Neodiprion lecontei: one gene and its partner. The protein of the gene in region 2 purifies or fractionates together with the protein of the main gene of each other region. This does not show direct contact. Links are inferred from orthologs where the notes say so. Each region holds a gene or a part of one and is shown on either strand. Other genes may lie near its edges.

What was found. Proteins that work in one complex are often made in the same cells at the same time.
Region 1: the proteins of peroxisomal biogenesis factor 19 (region 2) and peroxisomal membrane protein 2 purify together in Homo sapiens (affinity purification with mass spectrometry; 3 studies listed by BioGRID and IntAct, counting the BioPlex papers as one, with this or other methods). This does not show direct contact. The link is inferred for Neodiprion lecontei from reciprocal best matches to the Homo sapiens genes PEX19 and PXMP2.

What each region holds. Positions count from the first base shown.
Region 1 is NC_060266.1:5,732,771-5,740,530, reverse strand, and holds the start of peroxisomal membrane protein 2, read left to right. Parts: upstream 1-1,731; 5' UTR 1,732-2,016; coding exon 2,017-2,114; intron 2,115-2,411; coding exon 2,412-2,507; intron 2,508-4,843; coding exon 4,844-4,991; intron 4,992-5,068; coding exon 5,069-5,188; intron 5,189-5,391; coding exon 5,392-5,493; 3' UTR 5,494-7,760. Other genes in the region: THO complex subunit 6, read right to left, coding at 351-518, 650-877, 1,071-1,198. UniProt on the Homo sapiens protein: Seems to be involved in pore-forming activity and may contribute to the unspecific permeability of the peroxisomal membrane.
Region 2 is NC_060263.1:34,408,540-34,414,440, forward strand, and holds peroxisomal biogenesis factor 19, read left to right. Parts: upstream 1-1,755; 5' UTR 1,756-1,967; coding exon 1,968-2,031; intron 2,032-2,547; coding exon 2,548-2,733; intron 2,734-2,786; coding exon 2,787-2,950; intron 2,951-3,107; coding exon 3,108-3,356; intron 3,357-3,469; coding exon 3,470-3,685; 3' UTR 3,686-5,163; downstream 5,164-5,901. Other genes in the region: hsp70-binding protein 1, read left to right, coding at 52-454, 687-927, 1,023-1,233; phosphoglycerate kinase, read right to left, coding at 5,164-5,444, 5,527-5,746, 5,843-5,901. UniProt on the Homo sapiens protein: Necessary for early peroxisomal biogenesis. Acts both as a cytosolic chaperone and as an import receptor for peroxisomal membrane proteins (PMPs).

The DNA.
Region 1 (7,760 bases), on a different chromosome or scaffold from region 2:
ATGGGAAAATTGAGATCGAAATGTTACTGTCGAAAAAACTTATTCACAAATTATAATGTTAGATTACATAGTTTTTTTGTTTAAGTTTTTAAAAATCGGATAATGTCTGAAATGCCTGTTTAAATTGATTGGATCCAGATGTACACTCCACAACCCACATTTAATACCAACTCTATTCTGTCTAATCTTGTAAAAGGCTACTTCTCAACAAGAGACTACGAATTTACCTCAGTTTGAAAATAACTACTTGCAATAATTGTTTCGTTTGATAATGAATGTGAGTATTCAAAATGACCCAAATGTATTATTTATTATGAAATAATCTCTAGATGTTAATAAATTTTACTTACAAAATTGAAAGAGCATGGATGAAATCCTCGTGACCTTCAAGTGTTCTGAGTAATTTTCCATCTTCTAAGCTGAACGTATATATCTTATTATCACCGCAACCAGCATGTAATATGTTGTCTTCGTGTGAAATTAGCATGTAGTTGACATCTGGCTTAACGTAGCTGTCCCTTAAATTATTAGAAAAGAGAAATAAAACCAGCTGAAAATAAGTGGAATATGTATGAACAAATGTAATTAGTTTCATCAATTTGTAAATACATGACAGTTTTAATAGCGTACTGTGCAATTTGATATTTACTTAACGGTTGGTATGTGAATCGTCCAGGAAACTTTAATTTTAGATACTTTATTGGAAGTCACAACCTTCCAGTCCCATCCAGATATTTCTCCTACCGTTCCGGTAATCAGAAATTTATCAGTTGCTATAATGCTGTGAACTTGTTGTTGTTTATACGCAGTGAATTGATAATTCGGCCCTCTTGGATCACAGTCATCTCCATGATAGGGACCCAGTACCTTAGACAACCTATTAGTGAATAATTTTCCAATTGTAAAAGTTGATGATGTTTGTCATCATCAACTACGACAATATTCGTAAAATCAAGTTTGTAAGATTAAAACCTATCACTATGGGTATGCTGTAAAACTATACAACTTAACCTGGCAGGTCGACGGATTATTGAATTACTTGAATTAAAAAATTAATCGTTTGTACTTACTCATAGACAGAAACGTCGCCATATATGTTCCCAGCTAATAAATAATTCCCATCGGCAGAAAAAGTTTGACATTGAACAGTGTTGTAAAATGATTTCTCGTTCATACCGCACGATTTTTGTTCTAGCATTCTTGACGTGAGAGCTTGAACGGAAGCAAATGAGGCTAGCCAAGCTCTACTCCACAATATTTACTCACTTGAAGTGTGCTTGAAGCGCGCTTGGATTTTTCAGCCACGAAGTAATAGTAACTAATAAGTGACTATAAAGAGGTGGATCGCCGGAGGAACAATATGGAATTGGAATAAGGATGAACAATTTTACCGACAGATTGCTGCAAACGCTCATCTCTAGATTTTAAAAACTGGAAGCTTATTACGGTTTTTCATTTTTCTCATTTCTCGCCATCCAAGCATTGTGATCAGTTGACTAAACTTTGCAAATCAATCAGAATGCTTGGATGGTCGGAAATGTAAAAAGTGAAAAACCGTAGCAAGCTTCCAAAATGGAAGGTTTCAATTATAGGTTACCGACGTACCGCCAACGGTTCTCATCGCATTTCATGTACGCAACACTCGTGGCCCGGCACGTTGCAATACCTACAAATTGTAGCTTAGAAATCTGAGACTTCTTCTTCTACAATTTACTGGTTCCTAGGTGAAAACTGACAGCACACGTTGACTGATGATATGCTATAGTAACATTATTCGTCTTGTTTATCCAATCATAGCCCTAGTCGAGTTAAAAGAACCCATAAGTTAAAAAACAGCATAATTGGAAATAAGTATGATTGAGCAGAAATAAGAAGAAAAAAAAGAAAAAAGTAAGATAGATAACGATACTAGAGACTAGACTCAAGAGACGATAGAGGTCAGAGACACTATACCGCAAGTAGAGATCAGTGAAGATTAAAGAAGATCAACCCCAAAAACAGCGATAACTCGTGACAATGGCGTTATCAAAATCTGTAGACATTGTTTACGAACTGGTTGGAGCTTATTTTCATAGTCTTTATTCAACTCCGCTAAAAACGAAGGCTCTTACGAGGTAAAAAATAATTCGTCATATTTACGACACACTTGTAATTTTGCGAGAAGAATTTTACGTCAATGAACACTTTTCGTATGAGTTGATTGTTTGATGATTTTCCGCGATATTTGAAAAATTTTTCATATTAAAACCAACGCATATATCTTTACTGTAAGACCTTTACTAGAAATTCCAGCAAATCAGGCAAAGTGAAAAAAAAAAGTAGTACCAACACCGATGTATCACATAACTCAGAATTACTTGTGTATCACAAGAGTTTTCTATTATTAGATGGTATGTATTTTTCAATTCCAGTTGCTGCATCGCAACTTTGGGTAATTATGTATCACAGAAATTATCCAGAGCGAAGCACCTCAATCACGATAGTCTGATTGCATTCGCTTTATTCGGGTAAGTTGCTTGGCATCATTTACGCATGTAAATTTCAATGAATATTTCACTATAGTATGTACATATCGATATATCAAGAGTTCTTTGAGTAAAAGATTTGTTGGAATGATTAAAAATCACAACAAATATTTACTCAGATGCCTTATTACCTAATTGTCTAATATTCAATCATCTATTTGTAACATGTTTAACTTACTAAAAATTTGTAAAATTTTCCAAATAAAAACAAGAAAAGACGAAAAATTTAATTTACACTGTTTTACAGATAAAGTTAATTACTATTCGCGATGCTCACGACCATTACCAATGCCAGCGCCAATTATGTAACGAGGTCTGCAAGGAGTCTCGACTCTCGGCAGTTCTCGCCAACAAGCCCATTGTTGTATGTGTTGAATACCAAAATATCACATATTCATTTGAAATTGTTCCAAATTTTCGAATATATAAACTCATCAAAATAGTTGAAGTATATGGTCAAGGTGAGGCAAATTTGATACTTTAACAAAATGTGTGTGTTGGCCGTGCAAAGTGTCTTAAGACTAAGAAACCAAAAATTATTTCAGCCTCGTGTTATAAATCAGCAATATTTTATCCTTTCCTCGCCAGGTATAAGAGACGAGTTTCAATTTAACAATTGCAACGCAGTTATTAAAAAAAAGCCGTATTCTTGTTAAGCCATCTTATCAAGTACAATACATGCATACATGGATGGGTATTTGGCTCATGATCGAAAGGTATGGGGAATTATAAGCATACTTTATATTTCGTGTGATACTTATCAACTATTGAGTTGCGATAAAACGCTCGAATTCTTTAGGCGAAAGGCATATTTTATCAATATACAATTTCATTTGATTAAATAGAGCAATATTTGAATTCCAGGAATTATATTTTCGAATTGGAGATTATGTATTTACCAGATCTGAAATGTGAATGGAATTCACCAAAATGAATGGTGTATCCAAGTTTTCTCCTGCTTCGTTGCGCTGAGTTTGCTGTATGGCATTAAACTCTACACAACTAGTACCAACTTTGGAGAAGGTCAATAATTTATTCAACACGCTTTGCAGCTTCAATCTAAAATCACTTATTTTGTAGCATTCAATAAGACAATGAGATTGGTGTTTATAACGTTGTTGCGGCAAATGTATGAACAAAAAATTTTATCGTCCCAATTATTCAGGGTTCATAGGGTATCAAAAAATGAGGATATAAGATTTCCTTTCAGGATATTTTGAGGATCTCAGTAGGCAATTCACTTTTGCCCCGCTGTTCCCACAACCTTCACTAATAATAGAAGTAACTTAATCTTACGTTAGTGTTGCGTTGACATTACAAATTTCAATCTCACGAAAGACTTGGCACACCACACATGTACCAAAAAATATCCATATATCGATGCTGTATCTTGAATTGTCTACAAAATGAACATAGCTACTGGTTTCTGATTTTTTTTTTACTGTAGAGTATTTTTATTCTATCCATAACATCTTATTTACTTAAAATCGATACAATCCTGTGTGATATTGTTCTAACTACATTCGATACTTTACACAATCATTTTCCGACATATACTGTTCTAATATCACTGAAATTCGCTTTGTTAATTATTCACGACTCCCACCTAAATAGCAATACGATTTACGGTCGGCAAAAGATTACCAAGCTTAGTTAACGAGTCACGATTTTTGCAAGTTTTCAATAATTTTTAGTCAGTTTTATTGTGTGCGTTGACTTTTAATTGACTATCAAAAGCCAAATGATAGTCGGCATGTCAGAAAGTGTACTGCCTGGGCATGTTGTACTATGGAACTTTATCTATCCAGACTCCTTGCAACAGTATCCGTTTCAGCTACTCAGATAATTAATCACCGTGTGAGCATCGCGAATATATTCTATCCGAAGACATTATTAAAATATACAGGCTATTCGTATTTAAATAACTCATCGAGATATTTTCAAAACTGAGATAGAAAAAAAATTCCTAACCAAAATTTGTAGGGTTTCAAAGGGTGCGTGTAGTTACAGTGTGACTATAATATTCTAAAGGCTTCCTATGTTTTCTTTTACCTTATAATAATACAAAACTCAAAGGTTTCTCCTTAATATAGAATTTCTCGATACTAACAAAATGATACCGCCTTTTTATTTTTGCGAATTTTTGTACGAACCTTCTTGTATTGGATTTCACGTAGTTTTTTACTCATCCCAACAAGTAGTCCAAAACAGGATGCTGTATACGTTTTAGTAAGAATGCGCGAACTTTGCAACGTTCGACTTAATCGTCGCGTTCAACACTGTGACGTGTATTATCTCGTTTAATTTTTTCTTTTTAGCTTCATTTTTGGTGGACCAGTGCCTCATTATTTTTACCAGCATATCCACAAGTTAACAAAGCATTCGCTTGGGATTCTGCTGATAGAGAGAATTTTGTATACACCATGTTTCCAAGTCTTGTCATTGTACATGCTCGCACGATTTGAGGTACATAATCCAATCTTGAATATTTACCAATAGGATATAGCGATGCATAATAATTAAATGTATTTACTACTTTTCAGGGAAAAACTCACGAAACATCCTACGCTCAGTTGGAGAAGTTATACTGGCCCGTTCTAGCGGCAAATTGGAAGTACTTAACACTGTTCCAATTTATCAACATAACATTCGTCCCACCAATGGTAATCAGATAGATAATATGAACTCAGAAAAATATTGATTCATAATTTTAACTACATACTTTCAAATCTTGCCAATAAGGAATACGTTATTAGAATTTTACAACAAAAATCGTTACATTATGTTACCAATTTATATAAATCCTAGTAATTAGCAAGTTCTAAAACCATATGTATTTGTTGATACAAGTTGCATTCTTTTACAGCTACGTGTGCTGGTAGTAAATCTGATTGGATTCTTCTGGTCAATATACTTGGCCAATAAGAGGGCAAAACAAACAGCCATGGACCGAGCGCGCAAGGAATAAGAGTTAGTCAAGTGACGATGGTTTATAAATAATATTATTTTTTATACACTTTTGTAAATGCAACGCATAAGATATGACATTTAATATATTGATCATGTCGCACCAAATATAGAGCGCTATTATTCCGTCTGCGACTTTATGAAAACTTAGAATAAGCTGTTATAGCTCACTAATGGCAATTATATTTTGCTCAATTATATTCCTTATATGTACATGAATATGATCCGTGTACTTATCGTTAGTATCGGACTGAGTGTAAAATGTTTCAGGGCACAAGCTAATTTCGAAATGAGAAATGACAATATTAATTGTTAAACCTATTTAAAGTGTTGGCCAAATTATAGGTATAAATAAAAAACAAAGCAATATTAAATCGGAGAAGGCGGAGAAATGAATTTCTTACCTTTACCATTATTGTCATTTTCTGCAAAGAACAATCCTGGTTGGTATTCCAACAGAGAATCCACAGCTAGAAGATCTTTCTTGTACCAATTAAGTTCCAGGGAATCCTGCAATGGCAACTAAACAATCAATAGCAGCTTGTTGACAGCAATTTATTTTTTTATCAAATAATAATGGCTTAGGGTTTCTTTTTCTTTTTTTTGAGCTAAAAGTTTTTTTGCTCAAGTATCGATTTTCTGAAGCCTCTTTTCATTAATTGGATCTTCCAGAATTCCAGAAATATCTCGAGAACATCGTAGGATCAACGGCTGGAAATATAAAACATGATTTAACGATTAGCAGGTTGTAATGAAGGGTAAAATTTGAAAGCATTTTGATTTAATCACACACAACAATACAGAGTATATTACAGATATAATCATCAGATATTTGCTTTAACGATTGTAACATTCTGAATTAGTAACTATTTTGTTTGTGAAGGGTTCAAAATCGGTAGCAATTTTCAAGTCTCATATTATTATTCTGTTTTGAGAACAGAGGATTGCAAAAATGTTACAGTATAAAAATGTAATACTGTAAAGCATTTTTTTCTAAACCATTTCTTTTTCTCAATTTAATCGGGAATTGGTCTTCGTAAGAATTCAACAATTAAAAAGAAATGAAATATTGAAATTTCGAAGCTACTCGAGCAGCCTGTGGAGGTATCGCTACCGTTTCTATTTGACTAGGCTAAATAGGATGAAGCTGTAGAATCCAAGTTTTTTCTAAAATTTCTCTACGATGCCTGAATCGACTCGCCATTTTATTTCACTTAAAATTAGATACTAGGTACGCGAAATTACTATTCATTCATTTATTTAAAATTTTTCGTTACTCATGTCATACTCAAATACACAATCACGAAGGCTTTTGGAAGAAAGAATTCTAAATTAGGTCGATATTTGCTCTGAATTATTTTTTTTTTCAAAATTAATTGCAATATTTACATTTTGAATTACAAAATTTGTTTGACAACTCTTTGAAAACATTTTGAAAAAACAAAAATTAAGTTCTCGTGAAAACTTCTTCGTAAATATATTGAATTTTTTTGAAAATTATCAGTTGATTTGTACGTCACCTATTTACGAATTGTTAATAAGGTATGTAGACTTCAACAGAGTTAATGGTTTCTTGAAAAGATAAATAATTATACCCACGATTGCTTAGTTTATTTTTTTGTTCAATGACCTAATTCAACAAGTTTTTTAGAGCAGTGAATTTGCTCAAATTTAATATTGGCGACATTTACATTTCTCTTGAAACGTTTTGAAAGCGATAACGAGCAATACCTACTCGCATTTTCAAGTTATTCGTTGCTGTAAGACGCACATATACGAATGATCAAAAATCCATCACAACAGACACTTCGTAATGATGTTCAAATATGAACATGCTTCCACCAAGTATAATGGAAGTAATATATTAAAAATACATTTCATGAATATTTGAAATAGGACTGGCACATTATTTTCTTCCTACGCACTATGCGAAGATTTGCTACCGCGGGTCACCAGTATTTCAGTGCAGGGTATTGACATCCGGCATAGAAGTATCGGGGTCCATTAGTGCAATAACAACTAAATATACGGTTGATTTCATTAATGCTAAATTAATTATTGGATTTCAATATAACCGTCAATAATGCACACTTTGCGCATAATATTAGAACCGATGGTACAACTGATGTGTTTTACGAGGGGGGGGATAAAAGTCGCACAACAATACCACGCGAGAAACTGAACCTCGGACATATCGAAAGGTCATTTGGCGAGGGCTGAAAAAACACTGTACTTCCCTATTTTTATTTTTTTCATAATGTTACGACA
Region 2 (5,901 bases):
TTTTTTCATCAATTAAGGAAAATAAGCTTATATTTTCTTTTCTCTGTATAGCGACAAGCGTTCTTGAATCAAGCGTTGTCTTCTATGACTGTAAATGTGATAGAGGAACTTCAAAAGTCGATAAAAGTGTTGTCCAGTGCAAGCGAACTCCAGCTTGAGAATGAACCTTCCCAATACGATAATGCACTGGATGTGATCGCAAATTATGTCGACAACATGGACACTGCAAATGACTTTTACAAAATTGGAGGCTTCGCGATATTCGAACCCTGCCTTAATTCTAAGTACAGCAGTCACAGATGGAGGGCAGCTGACATTATCGCTGAGTTGACGCAAAATAATCCATACTGTCAAGAAAAGGTCTTGGAGTTTGGTTTGATGCCGACATTACTGCATATGGTAGACACAGACCCCTCAGAACAGACCAGAATTAAGGCCTTATATGCAGTTTCTTGTAAGTCCACATTTTTACATAATATGTCATCATTCTGTATTCATAAACTAATCAGAAACGATTCGAGAGAATTTATATCTACCATGATCACCGATACAGACAGATTTACTAATATTTGATTTTAAAAGTTGCCCTGCCTCATTCTTGCTGAAGAATAAATTGGAAGAATAAGTTCAGAGTATGTAATCAATTAACTGAGTTTATGTTGCTATCACGATGTTTCATCATTTAGGTCTGGTGAGGGAGAACCCAGTATCATTGACTCACCTGAATGTCAATGATGGCTATTCAGTTCTGCTAAGGGCATTGCAAAGTCCAATAGAAAAACTGCAGATAAAATCTGCCTTCCTGTTATCATCTTTATGTAGCAAAGATGGCAATCCCCATAATTTAAAGACAACTCTTGTTAATATGGGTTTGATCGAACAAGCGGCTGGTTTGCTGGCAATGCAAGGTCTTCATCCAGATACAAGGTACTAAATTCCGTTACTTCACTTACAAAATATTTCTGTCCGAACTGCTAACGGAATTAATATATATGGATTCTTCTTTTTGTAAATAACTCAAGGGACCAGCTATTGAGGGTACTAGCTGGATTGGCCAAAAATAACTACTTGCCAGCATTGAAGGAATGCAGAAGGCCGCAACTTTGCCTGAGGCAGACTCTAGAACGTCATCAACGTGAACTAAGGGCAGAAGAAAGTTTCGACGAAGCTGACATGTGTGCTCAGCTTTTAGATCAAATATTTTCAGATCATGAGACAAATCAGGAGAGATAGCCGATCTCTTGCGTGCAGCCAGATCGATGATCTGCCTAACAGAGTTGTAATTCTTGTTCAATTGTAACACAAAATATGTACAATAAACATAAATATTTATTTTTTTCCCTTATTCGAGTAACTTGACGTTTATAACTGTACGCTAATACAGATTACCACTATGTATATGAACAAATAATTTGTTGAATATGTGCAAGTACTTTATACAGATAAAATCCTGATATTGCCAACAGAGCGTTGTTGCAATCAATCATTCAATCGATAAGTCCGTCTGCCCTTAATACACCGTTGCACGTGCACATTCGCGTCTGGAGGCAATTAGTGACTAATGAATGTATCCGTTATGCGATAGGTTGATAATTTTTTGTGAACGACGATACCTATCGAATATTCCGTTATTCGTGATCCGAATAATGCAATTCAAGTAAAACTACGTAGGTATACGTGACCAAAGCGATCATTAAAAGTTTCATTAAATCTTACTCGAATCTGTATAAAAAATAAGGAAGGCAAGGAAAATAAGTTAATTAAGTTGCGAAAAAATTTTTCATCTGGTTATATGGGTTGAACTTTGTGCTGATACGCGGCATTGGTACGCCACGCGTCGCAAAGAAAGTTGTGATTCGGCCGCTGGAATTTAATTTTTGTAATACACTAAGCAGAAGCGCGCGAGGTCTTTAGGCTTGGGATTTATTTAATTGTTCGCGCGTGACGTAGCGGGAAGCAACTCGACAATGTCTGAGGATAAGAAAAAATCTGGAGAACCTGCAGATGCGGAATTAAACGACTTATTGGATAGTGAGTACTGACGCAAATTACATTTTCATTTACGGCGTAATCTCCGTTTGCAAAAATCAGCAACGACTTGGTGATGAAAAATTATTATGCACAAACATAACCTATAACCACTGAAACGAACAGCGTCTATAGCTGTTATTTTCATTATTTAGCGATAATTATGAAGTCAAGATTATTTATAACCTTCCAATGAAATTTCTGGCCACCAGATAATAGATCAAAATTTTATTTTATACAGTCTTCCTTTTTCAATAATTTTACTGTTATGTAATGTTAGAAATTGACCTAGAATTTTTGTCAATTGTTCCATAACACCTGCTTAGTCAATTGTTGTCTTGGTACAAAAAATAAAATGCATGCTTTATCCGTTTATTATTAGGAATTCGATATATGTAGGTCATCTTATCAATTTAATTCGGTTTAACCTTAGTTTTTGCAATTTTAGTACGCAGGTTTCATCAGATGTGAATTTTGAATTTGAAATCAATGTAATAGCAAACTTTTAAATTTTTCCAGGCGCTCTCGAGGATTTCAATCAGGTTCAAAGCGAAAAACCAAAAACCGATGCAACGGCAGTTGCATCGTCGGCACAATTGGAGCAGCCGGATGCCGCAGCTGGCGCTGAAGATCAGTGGACGCAAGATTTTATCAAACAAGCTGCAGACCAGTTCGAAAAAAACCTACAGAACCTGATACAAAATGGTGATAACTGAAGAAATAATTGTCGAGTTGTTATAACACAATTTATTGCATAGGTGATGATAACGATCTGGGAGCCTCTTTCCAAAAAATGGCACAAACTGTAGCCAGTGCTATCACAGGGGAAGGCGATCTTGGGAGCGAAAGTTCTCGCAGTGACTTTCAGTCAGCCATTTCACAAGCGCTTAAAGATTTGTCCAGTACGAGTCAGGATCTGCAGGTGATGTTCAACACTGAAGATAACCCTTGATTTTTGAGCACTTTTTTATATATTCAACTAAATCATATTGATAGAACACTAGGTTACATGTGTAGTATTTTATTTTCAGAATATTTTGCCACAAATTTTGATTTTTGATGTACACTTTTTGTAATAGAACCCGGTGCCAGGATTGGGAGAAGCAGATCTGGCTGCTATGTTCGGGAGAACATCTCTGGAGGAAGAGTCTGGCGAATTCCCATCTTTCATGCAAGGGATGATGCAGTCTTTATTGTCCAAGGAGGTTTTATATCCCACAATGAAAGAGTTAGTTGATAAATATCCAGTGTGGCTTGAAGAAAAAAAACCCACCCTACCAGCAGCTGATTTTGAAAGATACACGGAACAATTAAATCTCATGCAAAAGGTGTGCAATTTAATAATTGTCACCATAGGCAGGCAAACATTTTAACTGAAATTATAATGAGAGATAATATCAGAAACTGATGCGAGATTCATTTATGTGGTTCGCTTCCGTAGGTATGTGCAGAGCTGGAAAATGAGAAAGAAGACGACTCTGATGAAGTGAAAAAGGCTCGCTTTGAAAAGACATTGGCATTGATGAACCAAATGCAGAACTGCGGGCAACCACCAGAAGAGTTGGTCGGTGCTCCTGCACTTTTCAAGTGCGATGCTGAAGGAAATCCAGTTTTTCCACCTGGAGTTGACCCACCTGAAAACTGCTGCGTCATGTAAAAGTATAAAATTGTTACGTAGCCTTAGAAATGTCGCAATATGTTTGACAAAGAAAAAAAGATTGTCAAACTTCGTCAGTATCGATTTTCATAACATTGTTTTAATGAAATGGCCATTTTAAAAACTTTTATTCTCCAATAGTAAGATTTATTTGTTTTTTATAAACAAAGACCTAGATTGAAATGACAAAAATATTTCACTTCAGTAGTTGCCTTTACCATATTTTTTGATTTGCTGAGCTTCCATGTTTATTTCGCAACACTAGTGCCGACAGATATCTATAGCATATCTACAGTCATTTGCATTTTCAATGATAGATTACATAAAATTCTCTTTTCATCATTGAAATTAATATGATGTGGGGTAGTTGTTCGGTTAATTTCATGACTTTATTTCATTTGTGTGCACATCGGTTTGAGTATGGAGTACGTGATCGTTTTTCATGTAGCAACTGCCTCGCACAATTTTCTATGCGCCGTGCATAGGGTTTGTTTTCTTATTTTACGTGTATCTTACCTAAAATGCGGTGTAGGTACGTGTATACATGTATATACTTCGCAATGTTATGTACGAATTACAAACATAACGTTAGGGATGCGAAAATTCGACTTTGACAAGATTTAACACTTCTGGTCCAGTCACATCCCTACTGACAATACATGCATTATGCATATAGATGTAATATATAAGGAATAGGTCACCATATTATAATTTAAAAATAAAACCTAAACACGATCTGTGATCTTCACTAGCCACCTACGGGAAAATGGTAATTATAAGGTAATAATAAATATGTCCTTATACGCGTTACTACTTTTTTTTACAGATAGTAAATTTTTATTCTGTTATACTCGGTTCAGCAGATTTATTTCATCTAGGTACGTGTTAATATTTATTATACCCTTGCGCCACATGAGACATGGCTATGTTTGTTAGTCTGTTCATGGGACGGGTTTCAACATTTTTGTAAGTGCCATGAGTTAGATGTTTATACACATAAATTGTTATTTATTCATCGTTACAATGTTGTTATATTTAACATGTCCTCGAGATAAGTGAGAAGTCTTAAATTGTCTAATTGATCGCAGTGAACAGAGGTGGACAGCCAGAACCCTTAGGACTACTTCTGAGGTATGGCACATTTTCACTGTTACACGCGGTTGTCCTATTGATTGACATTCTTAGACGACTGGAGCTTCCAGGTCAATGTAAAGCTAGGTGATCGCATACAATATGCCAGCATAATTCACATGAATTTAGAATTAGAATCGTTAACTTTTATTAAATAGCAACATGATACATTTTGGTACAATATTCTTATAGAGATAAAACGTGACATCTAAAGAGATTACATAGAACTAAATCTTTATATCACGTTTCAGGAATCGATATTCTATATACACATAGTGGTTCAAACAGTGCTAATCTGCTCTGAAAAGTCAAGAGTTTGTGAATTGTACAGGAACCTTTTGCCCCATTTATGGGGCATCGGAAAGAGCCGCAACTCCTGGTAAAACTTTGCCTTCTAGAAGCTCCAAGCTGGCACCACCGCCAGTACTGACATGGCTAACTTTGTCTTCTGTTTGCCATTTTACTGCGCAAGTAGCTGTATCACCACCGCCGATTATCGTGATTGCACCACGCTGTGTGGCAGCAACAACACCATCCATCAGACTCTTTGTACCTTTGCTGAAGTTTTCAAACTCAAAAACTCCTGCCGGACCGTTCCACACGATTACCTTTGCTCGCTTCAGAGGTTCTGTAATTTGAAAGCCGTATCAATTTCGGATTCATCCCATAGCGAGAGTGTCAATCCCTTGTTGTTTGCTATTATTATTTACCAGCAAATATAGCCTGTGATTTAGGACCAATGTCGAGACCCAAAAGGCCGTCAGCAATGCCTGTTTCAACATCAGCAGTTCCAACAGTTGCGTTTTCAGCAAATTTATCACCCGTCAGGAAATCCACAGGTAAATGTACTTGTACGTTATTCTTTTTTGCTTTTTCCAGAAGGTCATTAACGATTTTTGCACCTTCTTCGTCAAAGAGAGAAGCACCAATCTGTAAAATCAGACCAATGAATACAATTGTTATTATTATTATCATCTGAGTCGCACTTCAATGTGATAAAAATCTACTGCTTTCTGATCACCGTACCTTCATGTTTTTCGTGACTTTCAGAAATGTGAATGCCATTCCACCACCGATGATCATTT